Linked DNA regions of Canis lupus familiaris. The protein of the gene in region 3 interacts with the protein of the main gene of each other region in a pairwise test. Links are inferred from orthologs where the notes say so. Each region holds a gene or a part of one and is shown on either strand. Other genes may lie near its edges.

The links.
Region 1: the proteins of NUDT18 (region 3) and NT5C2 interact in binary tests that used the Homo sapiens proteins (3 or more experiments, as listed by UniProt). The two-hybrid records come from large-scale screens. The link is inferred for Canis lupus familiaris from reciprocal best matches to the Homo sapiens genes NUDT18 and NT5C2.
Region 2: the proteins of NUDT18 (region 3) and DUT interact in binary tests that used the Homo sapiens proteins (3 or more experiments, as listed by UniProt). The two-hybrid records come from large-scale screens. The link is inferred for Canis lupus familiaris from reciprocal best matches to the Homo sapiens genes NUDT18 and DUT.
Region 4: the proteins of NUDT18 (region 3) and RAB3IL1 interact in binary tests that used the Homo sapiens proteins (3 or more experiments, as listed by UniProt). The two-hybrid records come from large-scale screens. The link is inferred for Canis lupus familiaris from reciprocal best matches to the Homo sapiens genes NUDT18 and RAB3IL1.
Region 5: the proteins of NUDT18 (region 3) and NADK interact in a two-hybrid assay, tested with the Homo sapiens proteins (2 studies listed by BioGRID and IntAct). The two-hybrid records come from large-scale screens. The link is inferred for Canis lupus familiaris from reciprocal best matches to the Homo sapiens genes NUDT18 and NADK.
Region 6: the proteins of NUDT18 (region 3) and GLUL interact in a two-hybrid assay, tested with the Homo sapiens proteins (2 studies listed by BioGRID and IntAct). The two-hybrid records come from large-scale screens. The link is inferred for Canis lupus familiaris from reciprocal best matches to the Homo sapiens genes NUDT18 and GLUL.
Region 7: the proteins of NUDT18 (region 3) and HSD17B14 interact in binary tests that used the Homo sapiens proteins (3 or more experiments, as listed by UniProt). The two-hybrid records come from large-scale screens. The link is inferred for Canis lupus familiaris from reciprocal best matches to the Homo sapiens genes NUDT18 and HSD17B14.

What each region holds. Positions count from the first base shown.
Region 1 is NC_049249.1:15,716,918-15,720,417, reverse strand, and holds part of NT5C2 (cytosolic purine 5'-nucleotidase), read left to right. Parts: intron 1-1,218; coding exon 1,219-1,270; intron 1,271-1,396; coding exon 1,397-1,457; intron 1,458-1,586; coding exon 1,587-1,763; intron 1,764-2,341; coding exon 2,342-2,578; 3' UTR 2,579-3,500. UniProt on the Homo sapiens protein: Broad specificity cytosolic 5'-nucleotidase that catalyzes the dephosphorylation of 6-hydroxypurine nucleoside 5'-monophosphates.
Region 2 is NC_049251.1:14,855,282-14,859,498, forward strand, and holds the start of DUT (deoxyuridine 5'-triphosphate nucleotidohydrolase, mitochondrial), read left to right. Parts: upstream 1-1,417; 5' UTR 1,418-1,509; coding exon 1,510-1,678; intron 1,679-2,197; coding exon 2,198-2,333; intron 2,334-4,217. UniProt on the Homo sapiens protein: Catalyzes the cleavage of 2'-deoxyuridine 5'-triphosphate (dUTP) into 2'-deoxyuridine 5'-monophosphate (dUMP) and inorganic pyrophosphate and through its action efficiently prevents uracil misincorporation into DNA and at the same time provides dUMP, the substrate for de novo thymidylate biosynthesis.
Region 3 is NC_049246.1:35,306,235-35,310,484, reverse strand, and holds the start of NUDT18 (8-oxo-dGDP phosphatase NUDT18), read right to left. Parts: upstream 2,801-4,250; 5' UTR 2,712-2,800; coding exon 2,550-2,711; intron 1,672-2,549; coding exon 1,458-1,671; intron 1,213-1,457; coding exon 617-1,212; 3' UTR 1-616. UniProt on the Homo sapiens protein: Mediates the hydrolysis of oxidized nucleoside diphosphate derivatives. Hydrolyzes 8-oxo-7,8-dihydroguanine (8-oxo-Gua)-containing deoxyribo- and ribonucleoside diphosphates to the monophosphates. Hydrolyzes 8-oxo-dGDP and 8-oxo-GDP with the same efficiencies.
Region 4 is NC_049239.1:55,107,790-55,111,780, forward strand, and holds the start of RAB3IL1 (guanine nucleotide exchange factor for Rab-3A), read left to right. Parts: upstream 1-1,191; 5' UTR 1,192-1,286; coding exon 1,287-1,438; intron 1,439-3,589; exon of another isoform or gene 3,590-3,679; coding exon of another isoform or gene 3,680-3,690; intron 3,691-3,790; exon of another isoform or gene 3,791-3,843; intron 3,844-3,991. UniProt on the Homo sapiens protein: Guanine nucleotide exchange factor (GEF) which may activate RAB3A, a GTPase that regulates synaptic vesicle exocytosis. Promotes the exchange of GDP to GTP, converting inactive GDP-bound Rab proteins into their active GTP-bound form.
Region 5 is NC_049226.1:57,246,770-57,250,996, reverse strand, and holds the start of NADK (NAD kinase), read left to right. Parts: upstream 1-1,427; 5' UTR 1,428-1,492; coding exon 1,493-1,575; intron 1,576-2,386; exon of another isoform or gene 2,387-2,495; intron 2,496-4,227.
Region 6 is NC_049228.1:15,608,790-15,612,222, reverse strand, and holds the end of GLUL (glutamine synthetase), read left to right. Parts: coding exon 1-82; intron 83-261; coding exon 262-461; intron 462-1,048; coding exon 1,049-1,367; 3' UTR 1,368-2,933; downstream 2,934-3,433. UniProt on the Homo sapiens protein: Glutamine synthetase that catalyzes the ATP-dependent conversion of glutamate and ammonia to glutamine.
Region 7 is NC_049222.1:108,190,964-108,194,901, forward strand, and holds the start of HSD17B14 (17-beta-hydroxysteroid dehydrogenase 14), read left to right. Parts: upstream 1-1,138; 5' UTR 1,139-1,170; intron 1,171-1,507; 5' UTR 1,508-1,619; coding exon 1,620-1,707; intron 1,708-2,220; coding exon 2,221-2,259; intron 2,260-2,419; coding exon 2,420-2,502; intron 2,503-2,971; coding exon 2,972-3,038; intron 3,039-3,938. Other genes in the region: PLEKHA4 (pleckstrin homology domain-containing family A member 4), read left to right, coding at 189-301, 622-881. UniProt on the Homo sapiens protein: Catalyzes the NAD(+)-dependent oxidation of L-fucose, yielding L-fucono-1,5-lactone, which rapidly converts spontaneously to L-fucone-1,4-lactone. Can also act on D-arabinose and L-galactose, with lower catalytic efficiency. Does not use NADPH.

The DNA.
Region 1 (3,500 bases), on a different chromosome or scaffold from region 3:
AAAGCGGGGGACAGAGGTGGTCCTAAGATATTTAGATAGCTTTCTTCTAGCCAGGTAAGGTACAGAACTCCAAAATTTGAGAAAATAGTAGAGGTTATCTTGTTCAGACTTCTTGACTTCCTTCAGGGTTAAGCACAGAATGTTGCTATCCTAAGTTATATTATTGTAGCAACTAAACTGAATTCCACATTTCTCTGTAGTCCCGTATTTTCCAACCATACCTACTAGTTTCAGTTTCTCTGCCATGAGCCTATATCTGTGATTTGAGGGCATTGATGGCTCTGAGTAGTCATATGTCCTATTTTTTTCCCCCTGCTCTTCTGAGAAGTAGAGAATGAGGCCAAATTGTATTCTCTGAACTGTACGCTGAATTGAGCCATATGTAGGTCCAGTTACATAAAGTTGTTTGACACGTAAGTTCTCCAGCCAGTCCTTGCTAGCATTACCCACAGTGTGGGGAAAGGTACTGCTTCAGGTACTTAACCCAGCTCTTCTACTTAATATCTTCATGCCCTTAGAAGTTACTGGGACACCTGTTTCCTCAAATTTGAAAATGAGGATAATAACATACTTCATTGAGACTTAACTGCGGTGTAATATATGTACAAAAAAGTTACAAGTAAACAACGTTTCTCAGTCATGGCACCTCATCTGACCCACAGAACAGAGAAATTGATTTGTGTTTTCAGTTTTCCCCAAAATAAATAAAACTTGTTACACACAACAGATCCATTAGGGCTAAATTCTTTTTGGGAAAGCCAGGTCGAGAAAGATGGAACACTTTTAAAGCATGCAACAGATCCTAGCTGTTGCTCGTCCTTGGCGGTATTTTCTAGCCAGCCCTTCATCCCCATTTTCAGCCTTTCACCAAGGGGATTCTATAAATCTAGTTGATTTGTAAGCTCAGAGTCAGCATCCATTTGGAAGGGAGAGTTGTAGTGAGTGGCATTCAGGTAGGAAGAAAAGCAGTTAAGGAAGAAACCATGACTTTCATCTGCTGCTAGATCTCAAGCAGGCCAGGAGTGGGTTTTCCTAACACTGGAGAAGGAAGTCGTTTTGTACACTTACCTGTAGCTTTACTTTTCAACCATGTCTACAACCTTCTAATTAGTTCCAGCAGCAGTTAAAAACTGAATGCTTTTTATTTTTTATTTTATTTTATATTTTTTAAACTGAATGTTTTTTAAAAAACATTTTTCTTTCCCTTCTGAACTTTAGCACTTTTCGAAGAGCTTCAGAGCTTGGATATTTTCTTGGCTGAACTCTACAAGTAAGTTTCTGGATTCTCAAAAGAAAAATTTCTTCCCTAAAAACCATCTACCTCTTTGGGAATCACCTAGGGGTGTAAGAGACATCTTTTCTAGAGATTTTCAGTGGTGTTTTCTTTTGTTTCTAGGCATCTTGACAGCAGCAGCAATGAGCGCCCAGACATTAGTTCCATTCAGAGACGTATTAAGGTATCCAAATGGGATTTGGGAGAAAACTTGGAAGATCAAGTTGTGATTTTTTTTATTTCTTCTATTATATAGGGATTGGTGTATAGTCAGCAGTCAATAACTATTTGAATTCAATCTTTTCTGTTTTAGAAAGTAACTCATGACATGGACATGTGCTATGGGATGATGGGAAGCCTGTTTCGCAGTGGCTCCCGACAGACCCTCTTTGCCAGTCAGGTGATGCGATATGCTGATCTCTATGCAGCATCTTTCATCAACCTGCTGTATTATCCATTCAGCTACCTCTTCAGAGCTGCTCATGTCTTGGTGAGTTAATACAGTCTTATGCTACTATTTTCAATTAAGATATATTCTGTAAGGCTGAGATCTGCAACCAGGTTTATAGGGTGGTACAAGAGAGTTTCAGTCTTTCTAATGTGCAAAAGCCCACAAGCAGGTTGCATGGTTGCACAAAAAGGGGTCTTTGAGAAAGCAGGATCAAGATCAAATGTTATAGGGTATAGGTTTACCCTGAAATGTATATTAAACGTTGTTTGAGTAACGAAGACTTTCCTCTTTGTAAGCATAAAAACCGTATTTCTCTCATTTAGTGCTATGTTCTGATACTGACCTATAGTTCAGGACTGGTTTTTGCTGCGAAATAAGAATCTTTCTCCCTCATCTTTTCTAGTTCGCAGCTGAATGATTTGGACAGTTTTGAAGAAGAGAAAGAAAAAGATAGCTTTAGGTAGTTCTAGAAAGACATTATTTCAGTATCTAAATTGGCTGGGCCTCTGATCCATTGTAGACATGTCTCTGCACAGCCACCTTAAGCGGGATAAGAGATTAGGATTTGGAAAACTGTTTTACTCCACTTGCTTTCTGAATCTCTGACTTTGTTTTAGATGCCTCATGAATCAACGGTGGAACACACACATGTAGATATCAATGAGATGGAGTCCCCTCTTGCCACCCGGAACCGCACATCAGTTGATTTCAAAGATACCGACTATAAGCGGCACCAGTTGACCCGGTCGATTAGTGAGATTAAACCCCCCAACCTCTTCCCACTGGCCCCCCAGGAAATTACACACTGCCATGATGAAGATGATGATGAGGAAGAGGAAGAGGAAGAAGAATAAGGAGGAAAACCAAAACTGAGCATCCATTAAACAAGTCTGGCAGGACTCACAGGAGCAGAGGATGGGTTCTAGTGGTGGGTGGGGAGCTCCATCAAAGGTACATCTGGAAAGTTTCTGAAGACTTTAAAATATTTTAATCATAGAGAGATACTTCTTAGTTTTGTTTGCACTCTTTGCAGATGGTTCAAATTGTAATGGAGTCTGTATTGAAAGAAAGTAAGGGTAAAGCTGGGCTGAACTGCATGCAGATGGCTCCAACGTGGCTTGTGACACTGTTTCCTTGTCTTGTTTCATCCTCAGTATGTATTGGCTACACCAGGGTGGTGAAGAGTCTCAGAGTGGAGCAAGGGTGATGGGAAGAGGTGATCCAAAAATGATGTTATGTTACAAATTGTGCTCTTACTCCAAAGTCCATCCTGAATTTTTCCGTGCATTACACAGTATTATATATCAGTGGAGAAATATATTGTTCCCATTATCAAATGTAGTCTTCTGTTCAGGTCAGGGTTCCTTTTATGAGCTTTCAAGTGTCCTCTATGCCTGTGGGCAAACTAGGGGCTGCAGTGGCCTTGCACAAGGGTTTGCTTTGCTGAAGGCTGGTCTGGAATGCACTGCAGTGATTCTGTTTTGAGGTAAAAGTCTTCATCTCTTCTTATATTTTTTTGATAGCAGAGATGCTTATTATCCAAAAACAATCTTTTTCTCATCTGGGATGAATCTGTAGAAAGAATTTAAGCTGAAAGAGGACAAAGGAACAAGCTCTGTGAAAAGGAAAAGGAGGAACCTCCTTCTTTCATTAGAGCATAACTGAGTGAACTTCTTAGTGTGGGCTAGTGTGGCTCATGCTCCCAGAGTCCCAGCCTTCTCTGTCCTTTAGGGTGGATTGCTATAGTTCAAAGTCAAGCTTTAGAGGATGGGAAAA
Region 2 (4,217 bases), on a different chromosome or scaffold from region 3:
AGAGCTCTTTCATTCATAGAATATTTATGAAGCACTCTTTTGAGCCAGGCACGAGGCTAGGCCCCAGGAATACAAGAGGGAACGAAGACATATATGGTCCCTGCCCTCCGGACCTTATGTTTACTAGAGCAAATAGACAATGGGAAAAAATAAGTAAATAATGAAAGAAGTACAGATTATACTGATGTGATTAGAAAAGGCTATTGTGCTAGAAAACGGTGGTGAGGCATCTCCCATCAGGTGGGAGCTGTTTAAAGGCAGGGAAGAGAGTATAAAGGGTATAATCCATAACCTCATCCCGAGGAATTCCAACATTTGAAAGGAGCCAATAAAAAGCTGCAGAGGCGGGGCCTGTAAGGCACAGCAGGAAAGTCTTATCTTCCTCAGCAAAACCCTATCTTTTTTTTCTTTTTCCTCAGCAAAACCCTTTTTTTTCCTTTTTCCTCAGCAAAACCCTTTTTTTTCTTTTTCCTCAGCAAAACCCTATCTTTTTTGTTTTTTCCTCAGCAAAACCCTATCTTTTTTGTCTTTTTCCTCAGCAAAACCTTTTTTTCTTTTTCCTCAGCAAAACCCTTTTTTTTCCTCAGCAAAACCCTATCTTTTTTTCTTTTTCCTCAGCAAAACCCTTTTTTCCTTTTCCTCAGCAAAACCCTTTTTTGTTTTTCTTCAGCAAAACCCTTTTTTTTTCCTCAGCAAAACCCTTTTTTTCTTTTTCCTCAGCAAAACCCTATCTTTTTTGTTTTTCCTCAGCAAAACCCTATCTTTTTTTTCTTTTTCCTCAGCAAAACCCTATTTTTTTTTCTTTTTCCTCAGCAAAACCTTTTTTTTTCTCAGCAAAACCCTATTTTTTTTTTTTTGTCATTTTTCTAAAACTGCACCACAGTTTGCATTTATTTTGACAAGCTGCGTGACATTCTTGGTTTTCAGATGTTTGCAGCAGTTCTGGAAATAACTGGACGCTCATCCTCGAAAACCCAATTTACGATTACCTAGAAAGCCATTTACACATCCCTCCGGTGAGTTATTCCAGGGTAGCCGCGATCTCTGTTGGAAGCATAGCCACTGGGGGGTCCCCCTCCCCATCTCTGCTCCTCTGGGGCGTAGGAAGCGGCGCTGGCAACCGAGTTAGCCGTCCTGGGGTCGTCGCGAGGCGCGGCCCCCGCCCTCCTTCACGGGGTAACCGACACGCCGCGCGCGGCGACTGCACCCGCCCCGCGAGGCGGCTCCGTGCGCTTAGCACCTGAGGAGCCACGGCCGCCGGCGGCGCCGCCCCAGGTCACGCAGCAGCGCGCAGGGGCCAGGCCCCGGGAAATCCCGGGCCGCAAATCGACGCGGGCCGCGGGCGCGAGGCAGACGTACGCCGCGCCCGGGGCGCCGGGGCCTGCGTGCGCTCCTCGTCACACGGCGGCGTGACTGCTTCCGAGGTCATCCCAGCCGGACGCGACCTCAGGGTGCAGGCCCGGCGCGCCAGCCGCGGCCGACGACCAGCCGGCGCCCGAACCTCGGGGCATGACTCCCCTCTGCCCTCGCCCCGCGCTCGGCTCTCTCTCCTCCACGTCCTGGCTCCGCTCCGTGTTTAAGGACGCGCGCGGCGCCGCGCCCAGAGGAGAAGCCGCGGGGCCGCTCTTCCGACCGCTGTCCAGCACCCGCAGGCCGAGCCGGGGCGGCTGCCGCGCCAGTAACGTCGGGCGCCTGGCGGAGCGCGGGGAGGCTGGGAGCGCGGCCGCCGCCCCCCGGGCCGCCCGGGCAGTGGGCGCCGGGAGGCCGCCCCTCCCCCCCGCCCCGGCTCCGGGCGCTGCGGCCCCTGGGAGGGCGCGCAGCCCCTGCGCGTGCGCGTGCGCGTGCGCGCCTCCATTAGGGCCCCCAGTGGGAGGGGCGGTTGCGTTCTCTTGTGGGACCCAGAGGCCCCCGAGGCTGGCCGCGCTCGGCTTGGTGCTGTGCCCTGAGTTGCAAAAGCTTGGAAAGGCGCAGTGGTTTCCCATATCCCAAACCCGCTTCGCAAGAAGGGTTTCCAGCCCCAAATTTGAACGTCGCCTCCCCTCTCAGCCGGGACAGTGGGCTCGTCCGGGGCGGTGGGCGGGGCGAGTGGTTGCTGGCGGGAGATTTAAAATTCTGGCGGGCGCGCTCGTCCTGGGGTCACTCGTTCCACTGCTGCTCTCTTTTCTCCCGTTCTGCCCCGCCATGCCCTGCTCTGAAGCGACACCTGCCATCTCCCCCAGCAAGCGGGCCCGGCCTGCGGAGGACGGCATGCGGCTGCGCTTCGTCCGGCTCTCAGAGCACGCCACCGCCCCGACCAAGGGGTCCCCGCGGGCCGCGGGCTACGACCTGTACAGGTGAGTGGGGACTTGGGCCGCCTTCTGCCCGCGCCATCCCCACCCCACGAGAGAAGGGCCAGCTCTGCAGTTCTACAACTCCCAGTCACGTTAGCCTATATTCTTGCCATCTGCTGCCACGGTGAACCTTTCACTTAAAAGATTGCAGAAACAGGGCCGCAGGATGGCTCAGTCGGTTAAGCGTCTGTCTTGGCTCAGGTCAGCATCCCAGGGTCCTGAGGTCCAGCCCACTGCGGGCTCCTTGCTCAGCGGGGAATCTGCTTCGCCCTCCCCCTCTGCCCTTCCCCCTGCCCGAGCATGCTCTCTCTCTCTCTTTCTCTCGCAAATAAACATCTTAAAAAAAAAAAAAAGATTACAGGGCAGCCCGGGTGGCTCGGGTGTGCAGCCCCGGGTGTGACCTGGACACCCGGGATCGAGTCCACATCAGGCTCCCTGCATGGAGCCTGCTTCTCCCTCTCCCTTGTCTCTGCCTCTCTCTCTCTCTGTCTCTCATGAATAAACAAAATCTTTAAAAAAAATAAATGAAAATTTAAAGAAAGATTACATAAGCAAACTCTTTTTGCATATATGTAGGGTTTCTGACTTTTTCTAATGCTGAAAATGTTAGCTTTCCTCTTTAGCATAAATTCAATCAGGATTTGGGACAAGCGTGCAGAATGATAACTATATATATATAGTTTATATATAAACCTCCACCAAAGCATTATTTGTTTTGTAGCATTTATCTATCGTACCCATTCCTAAGTGGAAGGTAATGATGAACAAGGTCTGACGTGGCTTTTAAGGCGTGGCCTGAGGGTGATGCACTGCACCAAAGAGAGAAGCCACGGGGAAGTCTAGGTGCTGAATGTGAAAATAGCTGGGGAGGATTAATGAAGGGTGCTTCTGCCTCAAAGGAATTGTGAAATTTCTCTATATGTCCATATTCAAGTTCACCCCAAGGACTGGGGATGTTAGAAACGGCAGGAATATGAAATGCAGCGTGAATATCAGTAATCTTACTATGCTTCCGTTTGTTCAGTACTTTTTACCTCTACTAAAAACTGTATTTGTGTGGTTTTATTTAATCCTGACAACAGTCCTGAAGTAGATAAGTGCTACTTACTTTTTACAGGTGAGGGAGTTTGTGAAGAGCTGAGTTTATTGCCTGAGGGTTTGAATGTAATAAAATTTTTGACTCTTAATTTAGTGCTTTTTTTTTTTTTTTCCCCTTGACTACTGTGTCAGGTCTTAGAAACATTAAGGTAGGTGACCAGTGATACTAGGGGGAATGAATGCGTGTTTATACATTACTAAATCCTTAGGATTTATTTTTTTTTAAGATTTTATTTATTTATTCACGAGAGACACACACACACACACACACACACACACACATACAGAGAGGCAGAGGCACAGGCAGAGGGAGAAGCAGGCTCCATGCAGGGAGCCCGACATGGGACTCGATCCTGGTCTCAAGGTGGCGCTAAACCGCTGAGCCACTCGGGCTGCCCCTTAGAATTTACTTTAAAGCATCCCAGGTAATTCTAATGTGAGAACTATTGATCGGAGTCCTAGGGAGTATAGGAGAAGGGTAGAAAGAAGTGTGTGATGATAGTAATGAAGACAGGAAAGAAAAAGAAAAATGAGGTATGGTCTGTTATCGCTGAAAAGGATGTATTCAGTCCCTTCGTTTTCATGAATAAAAGTGGAGTGATGTCTGGGCATTGCTGTGAGTCATACGAGAGACTTAGATTTAAGATACTTAGAATGTCTTCCTCGTGGGGCAGCCCCGGTGGCTCAGTGGTTTAGCGCCACCTTTGGCCCAGGGCGTGATCCTGGGGTCCTGGGATCGAGTCCCATGTCAGGCTCCTTGCACGGAGCCTGCTTCTCCCTCTGCCTGTG
Region 3 (4,250 bases):
GCTATGGTGGATGGCAGGAAGCCTGCCCACCCAGGTCACTTGCTGTCTGGGAAGAGCTGGGAGGGTGTGGTGGGTCAAGGGAGGAGCTTCCTTCTTGATGCAGTCCCCTGCTTCCTGCTCACTTCCTCCCCACAGACACATTTAGGAAGGAAGGCAAAGCAAGTACCACCTATTTACTCAGCAAGGGGCCCACTCCCTTGGAATGACCCCCCCCATTCCCACCCCCACCCCGCACCCAGTCTGTGTTCTAAGTGCCTAAGAACCTGGAACCCGGATGTAGGCCTTTACTGAGGGGAGCATGGAAAATGATAAGTAGATGCCATCTCAGGTTCAGAAAGTTCTCTCCTCCCCTTAGGGAGTAGTGCCCTCATCATGCCCACAGAGTAATTAGATCCTTGAGCTCTGAACTCCTTGTTTGGTTAAAGTCACTGTCCTTTTGGTGCAGCGTAGGGACCTGTTCCACAGAAAAGGAAATTACCCTGAGAACTAAGAGAATCACCTGCTCCCAATGCAACAAGACTTCTGACTGCCAACCTCCTGCCTCCCTTAGGAAGGCAGAGCCACGGTAGGGGGTGGGGCACAGGTGCCCGGCTCCTTGCACCACGATGGCACCTTCCTATCTGTTGACTGGGACGACCGATGATTCCTGAAGCCTCTGTAAGAGCTGGCTTTGTAGGTCTTCCTCCATCACCTTCCACCAAAAAAAGTTCTCACCCCGAACTTTTGGGGGCTCACTCTGCATGCCTGGGTTCCGAAAAGCCACAGTCACCAGCACATTCAAGCAGATGCCATCTGCGTGGTCCTTGCCCAGGTGCTGCAGTCCAAGCAACCCCTTGGTCTCCACTGCCAAATGGTGCAGGGTCAGACATTCCTGTAGCAGCCGCAGGATGGCCATCTTGATGCCACCCCTTTGCTCCATGGGACTGAAGCCGCAGGCAGTGATGGGCAAGTGAGGCATCCCCTCTGTGCCCACCAGCACCCACACTGTCTGGACACTGGTAAAAGTGGCCACGAGTCGCTGGCAGACCAGACTGCAGGGAAGCTCCTGGGGCAGAAGAAGAGGGTGCCTGGCTTGCTGGCGGTACCGGGCAGCTAGCTCTACCAGGTGCAGAATGTCCTGGGCTCGCAGCGGGGTGGGCAGGGAGCTTCGTGGGTACCAGCCAGCCTGCAGGGACTCTGCATCTGCCTCCTTGGAAGTCTTGAGAATTCCACCTGGAGGAGATGTCGAGGATGGGGTGGGAGAAAGGGTCTCTGTTGAGAGAAGTGCTGGGTCCGGCAGAGTAAATGGTCACCCAAGGATCCTAACCCTGACCCAGGGTAATGGGATTGGTGGGGGCTGGGATCTGGAGATGCCAGGCTTGTCCTGGACAGAATAGGGGCTCATCGCACCAGAGGACAAGCTGAGGGGAAAGGTGTCAACTGCCCCCTGACAAACACTGCCACCAGGTGGGCCATACCTGTGGCTTGAGCGAGGAACACAAAGCGGATCCAGGATGGGCCCCGCTCCTCCACAGAAAGCAATGTCAGGGGCTCACAGTACAGCCCGGCCTCCTCCTTCACCTCCCGCTGCAGGGCCTCCACGATGGTCTCCCCAGGCTCCATTCTCCCCGCGGGTAGGTACCATGATCCACGGCACTCTTTCTTGGCCTCCTGGATCAGTAGAACCTCATCCTGAGGGGAGAGAGAGGATCCTCACCCCCACCACAGCTCCGCTGCAAACCTGCCCTTGCCCCGGGGGTGAGATCCTATCTCAAACACAGCCACCCAACACCCCCTTACTGGTGCACACCTCAAACCGTTGAGCTCTCCAGGGGACTGGCCCTTGTGTGCCTGGGGGCCTGCAGCTGTCTGTAATTTACCCTTCTTTGCATTCAGACTTCTGTTTCGGAAAGGGGTGAAGATTCTTGGGAGCTGTTTCAGGGGCTGGGGATTAGGCCCCACAGGGAGCTTTGCCATGTGTCCTGCACTGATTCCCGTCTATATGCCATGGGTCTCTGTAGTTCTCTCATCTCCCCTGGTGATTTACCAACTGCTTGTGGCAGGGCCTCCCACTGGGGCCTAGGCTTTGAAATACCCACCCCCCAAGCCCATACAACTCCTACCTATGGCCCTGGCCCCTTCTAGCTGTCATGGCAGCAACTTGTACAAGGATCAGCAGAAAAGAGCAGTGCACAGTGGGACAGGAGGCCCGAGTACAAGTGCAGGTCATGCCATTACTGTTCGTGGGACCCAGAGGAGGTCTCTGAGGCACTGGGCACATCTTTGAGCACACTAGGGGCAGGCACTGTGCTCGATTCTGGGGAAAGAAGAGGAACAAGGCAGGCCTCCTCTCGAGACACTGAGGCCTACTGGGAGGGAAGAAACAGGCTCCGGGCCTCAGATTCCTCTTCTGTATAGACGGATCAGCTCAGGGCTGGGCCGCACAAGGCTCAAGGCTCGGATGCAAGTGTGAGTGAGAGTGCTTTGCAAAACTGGGGAGCACCACGCACTAGGAAGCGGTGGCTCCTGCCGGGAGGTCCTCCGTCCCCACCGGGGCTGGCTGCGCTCACCTGCTCGTTGAGGAACACGGCCAGCACCACGTAGCAGACGTTCTTCCGCAGCCGCACCGGCGCCGGGGGCTCCCCGGCCGGCTCCGAATCATAGCCGTGCACGCTCACCCCCTGGCCCCCCAGCAGCGCCGCCAGCACCCTCGCCAGGCCCTCCGAGGCCATCGGGTCCCCCGGGGCCGGAGGACGGAGAGCGGCCGCAGTGAGCAGGCCGGGACGCCGGCGAGGCTGCGGTCGGGCGCCCTCGCCCCCTCCCCCTGCCGACCCGGGCCCGGCGCTCGCGAACGCGGAAGCGCCCGAGGAGCCCTGCCCGCTGATTGGCTAGGCGTCACCGCGGCCTGCGCGGATTGGCTGGCTCGCGTCGGTCATCGCGGGGCGGGGCGGGGCGGGGCGGGGCCGGCCCGGGAGCCCGCTAGGAGCCGGGTAGGACCCGGGCCTGGGGCGGGAGCCGCGCCTGGGCGCTGGGCGCCGCCGCCGGGCTTCTGCGTCTCCATCAGTTACCCCTCGCCTCCCTCCGCGCATCTCCAGTCGCCAGCCTCTCTAACTCCTCCAGCAAGCGCTTGTCGGCGCGGGTTCCGACGATGACGTCATCCAGCCTGCGGGCTGCGGAGCGCCACAGGAGCCGGCGACGGTGACGTCACAACAAGCCAGATGACGTCACGGAGGCCGGAGGGTGGGGGAGGGGGCCGCGGCTTGGACCCACCGTTCTTACGCCTGCCTACCGTGGCGTTGCCCAAATTGATCACTTCCCAGATAACCTTATTTCTTCACTAAAAATGTACCGCATGTCTCCACGGCAGGGGGAGCATTAGCTCCTGCCTTGGAGGGGATTCTGACCCTGGGGAGGTGGACATAGACATATAATGAAAAGTCCCTCAAGGGTTATAAGCCAAGTGCTAAATGATTGGGTTGGGCAAGAGGTGTGACAGGTGCTCAGAGGAGGGAGGGAGCAGGGCTGGGGTGGTCAAGGTGTGGTTGGCGGTGGGAGGAGGGGGTTTGGGGCAGAAAGAGGGCCTGTAATCAGCCAGCCCAACCTTCATCGGTGTCCTGGCCCCTTGCCCGCTGCATGTCCCACGCAGTTTTAGGGCCCTCTCCACTGCAGACTGAGAGCCCTGGGAGGGCAGGGACCAGGTCTTGCTCCTTCGGCTTTGTTCCCCGCACACAGAGCTCACAAGGCCTGGTGGCCTGGCGCTCTGAGAGCAGGGTGTGGGTTGTTTTGGCGAGTTCCTACTTCTCTCCCAGACTGACCTTTCCTCCTCAGAGCTTCCTTTAACCTACTCTTAGGACAGGAAGGCAGGGCCAGCTGGAGTGAAACTATAAAGGCAGCCGAATCAGAGCTCCTCATCCCCAGTTAGGTCTCCCCTTTCCCTCCTGCCAGCTTCCTTTTGGGAACGTGCTGATAAAGTACTGGACTTGGAACCAGATGTCCAGCCGCAGCTCACTGGCTGGCCCTGTGCCCCTGGATGAGTCGTGGGTCTTAGTTTCCTCATCTGTAGAGTAGGCTCATAATAGCCCTTCTTCCACAGGGTTGTCAGGGAGGTGAACCGTCCTGGGAGGAGCTCTGTAGACTGTTGTACAGGTCATCATGACCAGGCAGCCCAGCCCTCAGGGTGAGCCCTCCTGGCCACAGCACTTGTTGCCGCCACACAAAGGCCCACTGTCATGAAATATGCCTACAGGACCACCACAGAGCTGTAGTCTCTC
Region 4 (3,991 bases), on a different chromosome or scaffold from region 3:
CTGGTTTGCATTAGGCTGAGAGCTTGGAAGCCCGGAGCCTGAGTGGGAGATATTGTTATCCGCAGGGTAAGGCTGGCGGGGGTGTGACTGCTCTGCAGGAACTGGCAGCTTCTCCCCCCTCGGGAGGTCGGAGGCTGACAGGAAAGAAGAGGGAAAGGGAGGGAGAAAGCCAGAGAACACTCATGTCAAGCGTGGCAGATCCTTCCCCAGTACAACTTCATTGAAGACAGTTGGTCCCCTTTTACAGATGAGGAAACTGAGTCCCAGGGAAGTGAAGGGACTTGCCTCAGGTCACACAGCCATAGACCAGCAGAGCTAGGATGAGTTTTCAAGCCAAATGAAGCAGGGTGGAACGTTCAAACCATCCCGGTGGACTGATGCTGACCGCGTCCCAGATAAGGGGGTGCTGAGGATTTGGAGGTCAGTGTGGGCCAGCCTCCGCCCACAGGGTCACTCAGTTCTTGTGGGGGTGTCAAATAGGTCTACTCCGTCATGACGCAGGTGGATATGTGCCTGAGGCCTTCACCCCTGTGCTATGGGGGGAAAACAGTCCTCAGGGGAGAAGGCTTCCTGGCGAAGGGGTGGTATAAACAAAAAAGATTTATCTGCAGGGGGTAGGACATGCGCAGAGGGCGTTGTGTGAGGAAAGGCGTGGTGTAGGGCATGTCTGGGCAGTGGCAGCTGGCCTGGTGTGCCTTAGAGGGTGAGATTTCCTTATTATAGTTGGGAAACTGAGTCACAGAGAGAGTGACATGCCCGAAGGCTCATAGTCTGGAGTGGGGTAGAATCCAGCCCATGTGACACCGGGCCTGTGTTCTTAACTGCTACACTGAATTGTGCCTTTTTATTGGTGGTTACAAGCTTTAAGGGGTTATTGAGGCCAAGGATGGGGCCTGGAGCAGGCAGAGGTGCTCGCCCAAAGCCACACAACCAGCTAGTGATAGTGTCTGTGCTGGATCTTTCCAACCGGCCAACCTGGCCAGGCAGGGGACAGGCAGTTCCTCCTTCGGGCCTCGTGGAAGCTGGGGGTCTCAGGGAGTCTCACCTTCCCTGGCCGGGCACCCAGGGAGAAGGGCCCCAGCACCTTCTGCTGCCCGCTGAGCCATAGGAGTTAATAATTATGGGGCTTCAGGAGATAGAGGCTTGCTGGGAGGGGCCTTTCTCCCAGACTGCTGCTCCTCAGAGATAGCAAAGGTTAGCGTGAGGCTCTGCGCAGGGTCGGGGAGAAGGCTTCTGCCACCTGCCTGCCTGGCGGTCTCCAGAGGGACCCTTGGGCTGGTCCCAGCATGGATGACCCCAAGGAGCACAGCAGGTGCCCTGCCCGAGGATCATGCCCCGTGTTCCTGGCACTGAGCTCAGGGGCTGTCCGCTACGCCCCATCGGTTCTGGGCCCCGCACCAGAGGGTAACTTGGAAGAGGAGCCCTGGGACACAGACAGGTGAGCCAGTGACCTGGGGCACAGAGGAGGGGTTGGCAGGTGGGGAGTCTTGCCACTCTGGAGAGACATTGGGGGAGGAGGGAGGAAGAAGCCAGGCTTGGGACAGGGGACGGACAGAGAACTCTGAGGAATTTGATGAGCCTCCTACAAGGTCAGTGTTGAGGAGTGGACCCTGTTGTCTAACTTGGTGTGGTACAGACACAGAGTCTGAGGATGAGAGATGGCAAGACAAATACCCTGAGTCATACGGTTAGCCGAGGAGAGACTGAAGTCAGAATTGGGGCCCGGGTCATCCAGGCTGGCAGTTTCCTGTTCCTCATCTGCCTCCAGCCAAGGCTCTGTGGTCAAGGCTGTCAGGTGGGGAGGGGGAATATGGGGAGGGTGGAGTAGGACCATGGTTTGAGGCCTTGACCTTTTACTTCTCCCTCCCCACCTGTTGGCCAGGCCCCTAGGAAGCTTCCCTTTTTGCCTGACAGCATACTGCTGCAGCTTCAAGTGAGTTCTCTAGTTTCTGGGCTATTTAGAAAATTAGTGTAAGGAGGGGTCACAGCCTCACCGCCCCTGGCTGTGTGACATGGGGTGAGTTCCTGAACTTCTCTGAGCCCATCCTTCTCAGCTGAGTAGAGCTCACTGGGCTGTGGGAGGAGCTAGTGAGGCCTGGGAATTGAAGGTCACTGGATGTATAGATGATGTGATATTTTTAGGTAGTAACTGGGATGACAGCATTCCCAGAGTGGTGACCCCACATTTGTCCTTGGAGGCCTCACTTAAGGGCCTCCCACAGCCCACTGGCCCTCCCCTATCCTGCTAAGGACTCTTCCTCTGGGGCCTTCGCCTGGGCTGACACCCCCTCCATGCCTTATCTCCCACCAGTCTGGGTTACCATGACTTGGACCAATCTTATCTCCTGCCCCGGCTTGTGAAGTCTTGGAGGGTGAGGGCCCTGTCCTGAGCTCCTTTTCTTCTCCCCTTCCCCTAAATAATGAACAGAGCAAGGGCCAGGAAGCTAGCTGTTGCTCAAGACTTAGATGGTATAGGATTCAAGTCAAACACAATGACATCTGCTTTGGGCCAGACCCTGGACTAGGCTGGGATAGGTAGAGAGCCCCACTGCACTGAGATGGCCCCTGCCCTTGGGAAACCACAGTCTGAGAAACAATTGCCCTGTGGAGTGAAGGGCATTGGAGGTCTGGGCAGAATGATTCTGGTAAGTCAGAAGGGATGTCACAGTGGGCTGCTCAGGTTGCTGGCACCTTGTGCAGTGAGTGAGTTAGCAAAGCATGAAATCCATGTAGCCTATCCTCCACTCACCAAGTCCTACACCTTGGCATGGGCTATGCTCATCTAGGAAGGCAGGACCATCTTACATTTTTGACAAAGACACGTGCACTTAGCAGAGTGTGTCCAGGGTGGCCCTGGAAGTGGAAGCCCTTGCGAGTGTCTCCCACCCCCACCTCCTTAGCACATTGGAACCCCAGGATGACAGGGCATGTGTCTGTGCAGTTTCCCTTTGGGTCCCCAGGCTTTTGATGGTCCATAGTTTGTGCTCCGGAGGGACGGATGAATGGATGACCGAACCAACAACAACAAAAAAAGGATGAATGAAACAAATGCGTGTCCCCAGTGACGACCTGACAAATTCAAGCCTGGGGTCCCAGCTCTGTGGACCTGGAAGAGTCGTGTCCTGAGTTCTGGTAGCATCTGGAAGGGGCGCACCTTCTTTCTCCTGGCCTCCTAGGCCTCTCTAGACACAGAGGGTGCGAGCCACGGTCCCTGGCGGAAGGTAAAAGGAGCTAAACTCCTTGGATCCCGCCCCAGGCTGAAGACGAGGCCCGCAGTCCGGGCTCAGGGCCGGAGGCAGAGGGGTGGAGGGACCGGAAGACGAGTGGTCTGGGCTGCAGGGAGAGGTTTTGCAGAGGACCTAAAACCAGACCGCTGTGCGCTGTGCGTGGTGGGGGTGCACCCCGGGGTGCATCCCCCCCCCCCCCCCGTAGATGCTGGGCAAAGGCGGGAAAGGGTGCGGGGGCGGCAGGGGACCCAGGCGACTCCGGGGCGGGGCCGCAGGACGCGCCGCCCGCGGGCTCCTCCCCTGCTCCGCCGTCACCCGTCCCGGGGCGCGCGGCCGGCGGAGGGCGGGGCCGGGCACGTGTCCTCGGGCCACCCCTCGGCCACGTGACCTGCCGGGTCGGGGGACTGGGTGCCCGGGGCCGCGGGCGGGCGCTGACGGGCGGCGGCGCCGGGATGTGGAGCGGGTAGGATCGCGGCTCCGCTCCCGGCTCGGGCTGCGTGGCCTCGGGGCGGGCGCGCGCGGGCAACCGGCGGTGGAGGTGGGAGGACGCCCCGGGGCGGGGGGGGGGACCCTCCTGGCGTGACCGGCGCCGGCTCCCAGCGCATCCGCAGCGCAGGTGAGAGGCAGCCGGGCCGGGGGGGGGGGGGGGGGGGGGCAGGGGAGTAAGTCCGGGTGCGCACCTGGAGGAGGGGACCTGCGAGCCGGAGGAACCCCTGAGAGCGGTGCAGGCGGGAGAGGGAGCGCACTGTCGCGGTCCCTGCAAA
Region 5 (4,227 bases), on a different chromosome or scaffold from region 3:
CTGGCTATCCTGGTGAGTGGCTTACAGTTTACTCCAAGGTCTTGTTCCCTGCTGAGCCGTGTGCCTGGCACTTAGCGGGCCTGCAAGAACAGGGGCTGCCCCGCTGCAAACAGGACGCTGCCACATTGGCAATTCTAGACCCTGGCCCATGGGGAGGAGTAGGTAAGGCCAGGGCAAGAGGGGCTGGACTTGTCCTCACGTGCTGGCTAGAGGGCTGAGGCTGGGGGATGGATGAGATGACTTCTGCACACCCCAAGACGCCCCCCTCCTTCACAAGAAGCCTTGGCCCCTCCGTGCCACCCCTGTCACCCAGGCTCCAGGCCACTTCCCCTTCTCAATGCTGGGCAGCCTCTGTTCACCCCCCTCTCACCCCTGCCAGGCACAGTTGAGGCCAACTTCCCTATGAGCTGGGAGCAGGACTCTGAGGGGAACCCCTTCCATCCTAGAGCCGCCTCGCAGGCTGCACTCAGAATCTAGGACCACCACCCTACCTGAATGAGTCCACCTCTGAGCAGGCAGCCTCTGGCTCCACCTTCCATAGCCCAAGCTTCCTTCTGCCACCTAACCCACCCACTCTGCTGTCCCCCATCATTCAACCTTCAGAAGACAGTGCATCTAGGTTTTAGGAATCTGAGGCTCAAAACAGGAGTCACAAGTCACATTTCAGAAAAATACAAGGAAACAAATACTAGTGCTGGGAAAGGTTACCTGAGATCCTCTGAGGCATAACCCTCCGCCCAGCCCAAACAAGTCTGCCCTGCACCCATCCCCCACACTGGCCTTTGTCCCTGCTGCTGGTCCTGCCCTCTCCCCATCAAGTCTGGCTTATTCCTACTCCACCTTTGGACTCAGTTTAAGCAACACCTCCTCTAGGAACCTTCTGGATGCCTGAAGGAACCCTTCCCAGCATTGGCTTCTATTATTGCTGGTCAGCCCTTGGGGATCTGGTGGGACCAGAGCCTGCTGGGAGAAATTGCACAATCTGCTCAGCTGAGGAAGCCCTGTGTTCTCATCTCTGAAATGGGGAAGCACTCCTGCCTGAAGTCTTGAGGTCTAGGGTGGACGGAGGCTTTCCATTACTACCACACCTGCACAAGTTCCCTTTAGACAGAGGCACACAGGAAGTGGCCTGCTGTGTGACCTTGGCTACTTAGGAGACAGGCTCTCCTGCCTTGATGCCTTCTCTTTAGACTTCCTGCTCTAGAAGGATCTTGGGAGGTTTGGCCCAGTGCCTGGAACATGGTTAAGTGCTGGATCAAGCATTTGTGTTATTCTGTTCATGATCATATCCAAAATACACAGCTCAAAAGGCTTCTGTGGGTGTGGCTGGCTGTCACTTTAGAGAAGTGGTTGGGTTTCCAAAATAACCAGACGGGGAAGTTGAGAAATCCCCAGAGGTTGAGAAATCCCCCCAAAGTCCTGACAGCTTTGCCCCCCTTTCTACTCACTCTTGGTGATCCACTGCCCAGTTGTCCCAGGAAAGCACTAAGACATGTCCTGTCTTCTGCCCACCTGTGTTTCAAGTCTCTGGACACAGGGCCGGGAGACCCCACCCGAGAAGACTGACCACAGCAGGTACCGGGGCAGTGGAAACGCGGCAGCCAGGCTGCTGCAGAGGGCGCCGCTCCACACAAGGTGGGGGGAACCTGAGTGTACCGGGGAACAACGGTGGGCACCGCCCAACAGTGCCCTGTCCCAGGAGCCTGGCACCCTGTTGGGACACTCGACTGCTGCGTGGCCTGGGGCAGCCTGCGGCCCCACCGGAAGCTATAAAGTGGGCACCATGTCCCTGGTCCCTTTCCTCTCTCCTCTCTGGGTCCTCTGGGGGGGGGGGGGTATGGCAGGTCATCTGGAGGGGCCCCCTTTGACATCCAAGGCGCAGCGCCCCTGTGGTGGCGCCTTCTAAGCAGATTCACAGCCCGTCGGTTGTGGAATCCTAAGCGGGTGCTGCCGCCACTCGAGGGGACCCGGAGCCAGCACACCCCGCCCGCGATGCAGGCGAGCGGGGGCGGACGGGGGCAGGGGCAGGGGGCGGACCCACGGACGCGCCTCCAACTTGCGGGGTGAGTGCGGACCAAGGTTCTTCTCGGCGGCCGCCTTCGGGGTCGCGGCAGCAGAGAACCAACCTGCCGGGAAACTCCCGCCCCTTGCCCCGGCTCCCCGGCCCCCTGGGCCCCAGCCTCCGGCCCCGGGTCCTTGCGGGCGGATCCCTGTGCCTGGGGCGCGGCGCATGTGCGGAGCGGAGCGCGTGCGCGAGGCGGGGCGCAGGCGGGGCGCATGCGTGGGGCGGGACGCGCGTGCGCACTGGCTGCATTGCTGCTCGGCGGGCCGGCGCCGCGGTCCCGGCGGCCGTGGGGCGGGGGGGGCGGCCATGGGGCCGGGGGCGGCCGCGGCGCCGGGGGCCGGCTAGCGACCGCAAGCGGCGGCGGGGCGGCGGGGCCCGCGGACTCGGTCCGGAGAAAGGACGGCCCCGCAGGCGCCCGGGGCAGCGAACGGTGAGTGCGCGCGGCCCCTCGGCCCGGCCCTCCGCCCGCGGTCGCCGCCGCCCGGGGGCCGGGGCCGGTCCCAGGGGCGCGGGGTCGGGGGCTGGGACGGCCCTGCCCGCCTCCCGGGTGTGGGCCGGGGGGCGCGACCACCGACCTCACCTGCGGCGGTAGCCTCCCGAGTCCGCGGGCTAGCGGGCCCCCGGGGGCAGGTCGAGGTTGTCAGGGGGCGACCGGCAGCGGCGGCCGCGGGAGTCTCGGGCCGCGGCCGCCCCAAAAGGACGGGTGTCCTGGGCTTTGGTTCCGAGTAACAGGTTACTTTTCCTTGCCCATCCTGGGCCGCCGTCGGCCTTCCCTGAACACTTGCCAGTCCGTCCTGGGTGGCGTCCCAGCTCGGAGAGACGGGGGTTGTTTTCCGTCTTTCGGGACGACGCCCTTGAGGGACTCGTTCCCCGGAGTTCTGTCCCCGGGGCCCTGTGTAAGCGGGCACAGCGAGCCCTTCCCTCATCCTGACCTTTGCCCCCGCCCCCGGGGACTTGAGGGCAGGTGCACGTGCAGCCTGGAGATGAGCCCCCGCGATGGTTCTGACTTGTGGGCAGGTCTGCGCTGCCAGGGACCCCGGAGCCCCGCGTGCTTCTACCTGACGGTGGAGGGTCGCCGTTGGGGGGTACGGGTCTCCTCCGTAGAGGAGAGAAAACCGCATTCGATTTTATTGAGTTTCCCACTTAAGGAAAGGTAGGTGTAACCTGCAGAATGGAGAGGCAGATGTGTTTTGATGGTAGGTGATTGCTCCGCATCACAGGACACAGGATGTCCCTAGGCACGGATGTTAGGGAGGGAGCTGGAGGAGCTTCAGGAGGCGGTGTGCAGGGGACTGTGCACTCCTACCTGCGGGGCCTCCTGCAGCCCTCACTGCCTCCTGTGTACACCTGTTGACAGGTGCTGCTGCTTTGGCCGGCCCTGGGCTAGTGGGGGTCACCTTGTACCCCACCATCTCATTTCTGTTTGTGCTGGTGGCTTAACCATTTGCAATACCTCCCAGACCCACGATTGTCAGGCTCCTACGTTTAACACGTGGGAACAGGTAAACACTTGTTTGGACAGTCAGCAGAAAGTATTGAGAGAAACACAGTGAAGGAGGCAGCTCACACTGCAGCAGGGGAAGGGCTGGGATGACACCAGTCTTCATTCATACAACACACCTTGTTTTCCTTACCTGCTCAAGGAAGGGTGTGGCCACTTCTCCCTAACAGCCCCCTCAGGTCTTCTGTTCACTTTATGGGGTTGCAGGTCAGGCTCCTGGTTTACGTTGCCAGCATGGTTTCCAAAAGATCTTCCTTGGTTCATATGCTGCCAGTGCAGATGCCCAGTTTTATCATGTCCTTGCCAGCTTTGAGCAATATTGGTGGGGGAAGAAGGGAAGGGCTATGGATTTGTTTCGCACCTCAGTGTCAACTAGTGAGGTTCAATGTTTTCGTGTCTCTGCCACCAAATAAACTTTCCTTTCTCATTTAGTATCTTCAACAAATACAGATTGAGAGCTCACAGTGGATGTCATGTGCATCATATCTAGTCTGTGGGCATGTGTACGACTTGTGTCCTGGTGTCTCACTGCCATTTCAGTGTGTCCCCTCCCTACCATGTGTGAGTTCTAGGAAATGTTGCCCAACACTTTTCTCCTAATGAAACTTCCCAATACCAAAGTTGTTTTTTGGGGGTTGGGGCGCCTGGCTGGCTCATTCGG
Region 6 (3,433 bases), on a different chromosome or scaffold from region 3:
TATCGTGGAGGCTCACTACCGGGCCTGCTTGTATGCTGGCATCAAGATTGCTGGGACAAACGCTGAGGTCATGCCTGCCCAGGTAAGTGACTTGTTCATCTGTAGGACCTATGGGCAAGTGGGGACTTTTGCCAGCACCCTCGTTTGCCTAAAACTTAAGCGGGATTGGAATAGAGGTGAGAAAAAAGCACGGTTAAGAGCTTCTGAACCGGGGTAAGAAGTTGGCATTATTGTAAAGGCCAACTGTGTTGTTCTCTCTAGTGGGAATTCCAGATAGGACCCTGTGAAGGAATCGACATGGGAGATCATCTCTGGGTGGCCCGTTTCATCTTGCATCGTGTATGTGAAGACTTCGGAGTGATAGCAACCTTTGATCCTAAGCCCATTCCCGGAAACTGGAATGGTGCAGGCTGCCACACCAACTTCAGCACCAAGGCCATGCGAGAGGAGAATGGTCTAAAGTAAGTGCTTTCTCTTGATGGGGCCATCTTTTCCTTGCTCGCGTACTTGCCAAGGGTCTGATGTGTTGGGGCTAAATGAGCCAGACTTCTCCATGTGGACTTGAGCTTTTAGCACTTGGCTTTACAAGTGGTTTTCTAATTCTGTCATTTCATTCCTATTTGAAAAGTACCAAAAAATACTCTAGGAATCGAATCCAAGGGTAGCGATTGGAAAAGGGGGGACCTAATTTAATTAATGGGTTTGAAAGTCTTCAATAGGAAATAACTTAGTAACAATAAAAAGCATGTGAATGAACTTAATGCTTAGGGGTGGGGGAAGGTCTTTGATAAGGATCTTTTCCTTTAACAAATACCATGTAGTGAGTGTCCAGCACCATCCTGAGGCACTGGGTGGGATGCACAGGTAAGAAGGCAGAGTTACTGCCCTGGTGGAATGTTTGATCTGTGGGGACCATGTTTTGGTGAATTGTAAGCAGTCGTTGATAGAGGAGCCCCTCCATTCTTAGATCCATACCTGGCCCCCTGCCGTTGAAGGGCAGATTTCCTGGTGGCAGGTTGGACCCCACCATCTTCTCCATTTACCCTAGGTACATTGAGGAGTCCATTGAAAAACTGAGCAAGCGGCACCAGTACCACATCCGAGCCTACGATCCCAAGGGAGGCCTGGATAATGCCCGGCGCCTAACTGGATTCCATGAGACATCCAACATCAACGACTTTTCTGCCGGCGTGGCCAACCGTGGTGCTAGCATCCGCATTCCCCGGACTGTCGGCCAGGAGAAGAAGGGTTACTTTGAAGACCGTCGCCCCTCTGCCAACTGCGACCCCTTTTCGGTGACAGAAGCCCTCATCCGCACATGTCTTCTCAACGAAACTGGCGATGAACCCTTCCAGTACAAAAACTAAGCGGACTAGACTTACAGCCATCGAACCCCTCCTAATTAATTCTCCATCCTGCCTCCGTGTTTGCCCCTCTCTTGACTGTCCTAATAGCAGTAACTCAAAGGGCGGAATATCAAGGTCTTTTTTTATTCCTCATGCCCAGTTAATATCTCTTGCTTTCTTTGGCCAGGATAGAGGGGTCAAGTTCTTAATCTTTTTACACCCCCCCCCCTTTTTTTTCCCTGTCACTGAAAGCTGTCTAGTATGTTAGTAGGGAGGGGGGTAGGGAGACATAACCACTGTTCCCATTTAATCAGGTGTGTTTGTCCAATAGGCGTAGCTATCCGGACAGAGAATAGTGTTTGTGAAGGGAGGGGGAGGGCTCTTTTCTTCGAGGTAGCTGAGTGTTGAGGGTGGGGAGGGTTACTTACTCTGGGGTTAGGTTAGGATTTCCCCTCCTGGTGGGAAGTTCCACTTCGAATAAGGTTATAACCAACTTTCTATTAAAAAAGTGAGACTTATGAGAGAATCAGGCGGGAATGTGCCTCCCGTCCTCCTGGTGCAGGGCTTCCCCTATCTGGGGCGAGATAGCCCTCACCTGAAGACAAGCTCAGTGTAAGGATGGATTGACCTACCTTAGCAGAAAAAGTTCTTATTGCTTGGTCCTCCATTTATAACACAAAGCAGAGTAGTATTTTTATATTTAAATGTAAAAACAAAAAAAATTATATATATGGGTGTGCAGATATGTGTGGTTTTTTTCCTAAAGGAGGAAAAACATTCTGGTCACGGAGAGCCAGATTTGAGGTGAATAGTCTGGAAATAAGGATCTCCTACTGAGTGGAGACTTGGTATTCCCTCACTGCCACTATAGGGCTCCCATGTGCCCTGCCCACTCTTCTGCAATTGAGGGTAGACACCGGTCGGTTGACAGGTTGACAGGTGGAAAGCACGTTGTAGAAGGAGGAGTCACCTGAGCCCCGTGGCTTTGGTTTAAAAGACACACATGTACACACAGAGGTTTAGAAATAAAGAGTTGGCTGGTCAACTTGCATGTTACTGACAAGGGGTTATTGGGATTATTTTCTGATGGGACTAGCATGTCACTAAAGCAGGCCTTTTGATATATTAAAATTTTTTAAAAAGCAAAACAGAAGTTTAGATTTTAATCCTGTTGTAGGGTTCTTCTGAGTCTTCGTTGTTACAGAATCACCCGTTTGCTTTGGCTGTCTCCTTCCTATCTCTGCTCTTATGAGGACATGGGGACAGCCCTGGAGTCAGAACACTTGTCATTTTGTATCCTGGTGTCTATTCTGAGTGTGAGATGCTCCTTTCCATTGTTAAGATTCCTGAGGCGTTACTTTTTCTTTTATAATAAAATGCAAACCCCATCTTCATCCCTATGTTTTCCTGGCTGTGTCTGGCTGTTTTCATGTTGGCTGCAGCCGGCCGGCGGTGGCTTCCTCTTGCCATGACGACTTCTAATTGCCATGCACAGTATGTTCAGTTAGATAGCTCTTCATTGTAAACAAACTGTTAACTGCCCAGCGCAGCTCTTATAAATCAACCTAACATTTATAAGATCTCTTCCGACTCGATTCTTTGTGTTTCTTTTTAAATCCCTGCGTGCCTTTTCATTCTTTTTCCTACCAAAAAAGGGGATTTTTTTTTTTTAAAGAGACAAGCTCAAATTCACTCACTCTAGGAATTTTTAAAACTCTGTCTTAAGTCATGTTGCCAACCAGCTCGCTTTTGTACTTTGAGTGTTTGGAGTCTCAGGATGAAGGCATATCCCAGCCCTAGAGTTTTGGAGGATGGTACAAACCCTAGCCCTCTCCTCATGTGCTCCAGAGCTTGGTTTTGACTTATGATTCTATAACATCGTCTTAAGCACCCTTTTTAGTTTTATAGCAGCCTGAAATGGTTAATGTGTTATCAAGGGCTCTCACCATCCCTACTGGTCTTGATTTCATCCTTACCCACCACCCCCGAGGTGTTGCACCTCTTGGCCCTGCGGCGACCCTGATTGAAGCCTTCCGAGGCTGGCTGGGTCAGAGCCAGCTAGCCCAGATATGCCCTGGACATTGCTC
Region 7 (3,938 bases), on a different chromosome or scaffold from region 3:
ACAGAGATAGAGGGGCAGAGACTTAAGCAGAGGGAGAGAGGGGCAGAGACTTAAGCAGAGGGAGAAGCAGGCTCCACGCAGGGAGCCCGATGCAGGACTCGATCCCGGGACTCCAGGATCACGCCCTGGGGCAAAGGCAGGCGCTAAACCGCTGAGCCACCCAGGGATCCCTCTCTCTTTTTTTCTAGCCCCAGGAACACCACCCCTTATTTGCCGACAGCCGAAGGTCACCGGGAGCGAGTCCTCAGCCTCTCTCATGCTCTGGCTACTGAGGCGTCGCAGTGGCACAGATTGATGACAGGTGAGGGGCTGGGGGACCTTGGACTCCTGGGTTTTAGGGAAGAGGGAGCCAGAGCCTGGAGTCCTTGCTGGTCGGAGGAGTGTGAGAGCTGCTGGGAATCCTATGTCTGGATGAGAAGAGTGCCGTAGAGGGCTTGGGAGTTCCAGATCCCAGGCAGGAGGGGACAGGGGTTCAAGACTCCTGGGTCAGGGGGGCGGGGGAAGGGAGTGGGGCCAGACCTGTGGGTCTGAGGGAGGATGGGACTGGGGGCTCGACTCCTCGGTCTGAGAGGAAAGGGGTCCCCAAGTTTGCCATTCTCACTTCCCACTCGTGCTGTCTAGGTGGAAACTTGGACTCCCGAGGAGACCCTCTTCCCCCTGCGCCGCCGCCTCCGTCAGACCCCACCCCCCAGGGGACCTCGCCCCCGAGATCTCCAGTGGCTAATTCCCACTCAGCCGGGTTCTCCCGCGGAGGTGGGGAGCGCGGCGCAGGCCCCGCCTCCTGGGAGCCCACGTGGGAATCCGGGACCGCCCCCCCGGCCCTGACCCAGGAGGAGGGGGCGTGGCCTCTGCGAGTCACGCTGCTGCAGTCCAGCTTCTGACCCGCCCCAGCGCCGCAGCCAATCGGAGCGGGAGGGGCGTGACCCGGGGGTACCGCCCCGAGACGGGAGCCGCTCTCGGCGCCGGGGGGCGTGATCTGGTCCCCGCGGTGGCCTAGGGTGGGAGACGTTTCCAGGGCCAAAGTTTGGTTTTCCCAACACTTGTCCAAATTCGGATTAAAACTTTGAACTTTTAGTCAATAAATTTCTGTCTGTTTGGGGTTGTGACACTGGGGTCTCTTCAGGGCGGAGCTGGAGCCGTGGCCTCCTGCGTCCTGACGGTCTGAAACCTGTAGGTCTGGAAAAGGAGAAGCAGGGCCTAGATTCCTGGGTCTGAGGGAGGAGGGGGTTGGATGCCATAAATCCTGAGTTTGAGGAAGGAGGGGATTGGGGGCCCAGACTCCTGGGTCCGAGAGTGGAGGGGCTGGGGACCCGGACTCCTGGGCCTGAGGGTCTGAGAGTAGAGGGGCTGGGGGCCTGGGCTCCTAGGTCTGACGGAGGAGGGGCTGGTTGCCTGGGCTCCTGAGTCTGAGGGAGGAGGAGCTGAGGCCCCAGACAACTGGGTCTGAGGGAGGAGGGGGCGGGGGCAAACTTCCAGGCTTCTGGCCTTCCTGGCAACGCCCCCCCAGGGCCGGCCTTCCAGGATCCAGCCCCTATTTATGGTTCTGCTCCACGGCCTCACTGGACTGTGGAGGTGGAAAGAAGCAGAGTGAGTGACAGGGAGAGTCAGACAGAAGCAGGATGGCAACAGGGACGCGCTATGCCGGGAAGGTGGTGGTTGTGACAGGAGGCGGGCGCGGCATTGGAGCCGGGATCGCGAGAGCCTTCGGTGAGTAGGGGTCTGGCGAGTCAGGGTCTGGCTACTTGGGGAATATTAGAGATTGGGAGCGGAGGGACCCTGGGAACTAGTGGGTGTGGGAACTTCAGTACTGGAGTCAAGATTCTTAGCCTATAAAAACCCAATTTGCAATGTTAATGAAAGGGTTGACAGCCTAAGCCTGGGGCCTGAGCTTTTGGCAGTTCTCCAAAAATGGTTACTCTCTTTTTCTGGGTCTCAGTTATTCTATCTACAAAGTGGGGGTGGCTGGGGGAATGTGGCTTGCAGGTTTCGGGTTTATTCTGGAACCCAGGGATGGGGGCTCAGGAACCCCAGCAGGCACCTACAGTGGCCAAGGAGAATATGGGTCAAGTCTTCTGCCCTTTGCTCTAGAGGAACATCATGGGACTTTGGGGTCATGAGGGGAACGTTTGGAAAGATGGGCCCCACTCCAGGTGGCCACAGGAGGGCAGCAGAGGCCTTTGCCAAGATCTGTGCTGGAGTAACCTGTTTTTCCATTCTCAGTGCAAAACGGGGCCCAAGTGGTTATCTGTGACAAAGATGGTGAGTGAGCGTCCCTTGGTCCTCACCCCAGCCCCCTCCTCCCTCACACCCAGGAGTCTGGGCCCCCAGGCCCTTTCCTCTCTCAGACCCAAGAATCAGGACCCCAGCCCCTCCTCCCTCAGACCTAGGAGTCTGGACCCCAGCCCTTCTCTCCCTGCAGAGTCTGGGGGCCGGGCCCTGGAGCAGGAGCTTACTGGAACTGTCTTTATCCTCTGTGATGTGACCCGGGAGAAAGATGTGCAGGTGAGCTATTCTTGACCCTGTCTGGCCCCAAAGACTGCTGCTCCGGACTTTCCCTGATTCTGCTGGCCAGGTTCTGGGTCTCCTGCAAAGTTTCTCCTTTATCTCTCACTATGGAGCTCTTGTCACACCTGTCACATAGACTGGAACAACAACAACAAAAATCCCTCACAGTGGATCTCCTTCTGGAAGAGTCTTCCTCTCCCGCCTCTGGGATTCTATCCGTTCACTTCGGTCAATGTCTCTCTGATGTCCACCCTCTGCCCCCCACCCGGACACCAGGTCTCTGCAGTGTGAATATATCCAGCCCTCTGGTGATTTAGGGGAAGCCCCCACTTCCTGTAGCTCCCTTCACCTTGGCTGTGATCCACCTCCCCCTTTGCTTTTTTTTTTTTTTTTCCCCTTTGCTTTTGGGAGTCCAGGATCCTCAAGGCTGGGTGCCAGCCCTGCTCACTTACCTCTTTGTCCTCAGACTCTCATTTCTGAGACTGTCCGTCGTTTTGGCCGTCTGGATTGTGTAGTCAACAACGCTGGCTACCGTGAGTTGTGTGGCCCACAGGCCATTCTCCCTTGGTGTCCACCCACCTCCCCGCTTCCATCCCTTCCTTTCCCTCCCCCTCAGTTCCCCATCTGTCTTCTCCATCCCCTTTCCCATCCCCCTGTCTCCTTGGATGGGACAGTACAGCCCTGGAAGGCCCTGCACTGGGGCTCACATCCTGGCTGGTTCCATCCTGGCCTCAGTTCTTCTGTTTCTAGAATGGGAATGATGATCATGAACAACAGAGTTGTTGTGGGTATTAAATAAGATAAACTACTCGGCCTCATAATTATCACAAATATCTTGAAGAAACAGCTCCCATCTTGTGGTCTCAATTTGCTTATCTATGAAGTGATGGCAATGACCCTTCCCTTTGCTGATGACTATGAAGGTATCCTCATGAGTGTGGTTTTTTAGGTCCTCTTCAAGGTCCCCTTTGAAGGGGAAATGCTGTCAGTTTAACGACTTACCCTTCATAAGAATCTCTCATGTTGGTAAGCCAGGGCTCAGAGAGATGAACTGATTGCACTGAGGTCACACAGCAAGGCCTGTCATAAGAGTGACATCCTCTTCAGCTGCACAACGTGCCCCCCTGCTTATTGTTGGCTTTTTTTAAGATTTTATTTATTTATTCATGAGAGACACAGAGAGGGAGAGGCAGAGACACAGGCAGAGGGAGAAGCAGGCTCCATGCAGGGAGCCTGATGGGGGACTCCATCCCGGGTCACGCCCTGGGCTGAAGGCAGCGCTAAACCGCTGAGCCACCCAGGCTGCACAACCCTCCCACCCCCTCCACCGCTGCGTATTGGCTGGGCAACTTTAAGCAAGTGGCTCACCCTCTCTGGGCTGCATTTTCCTCCTTATATTGTTGTAAAGATCAAAGAGATGGCTAATACCAGTT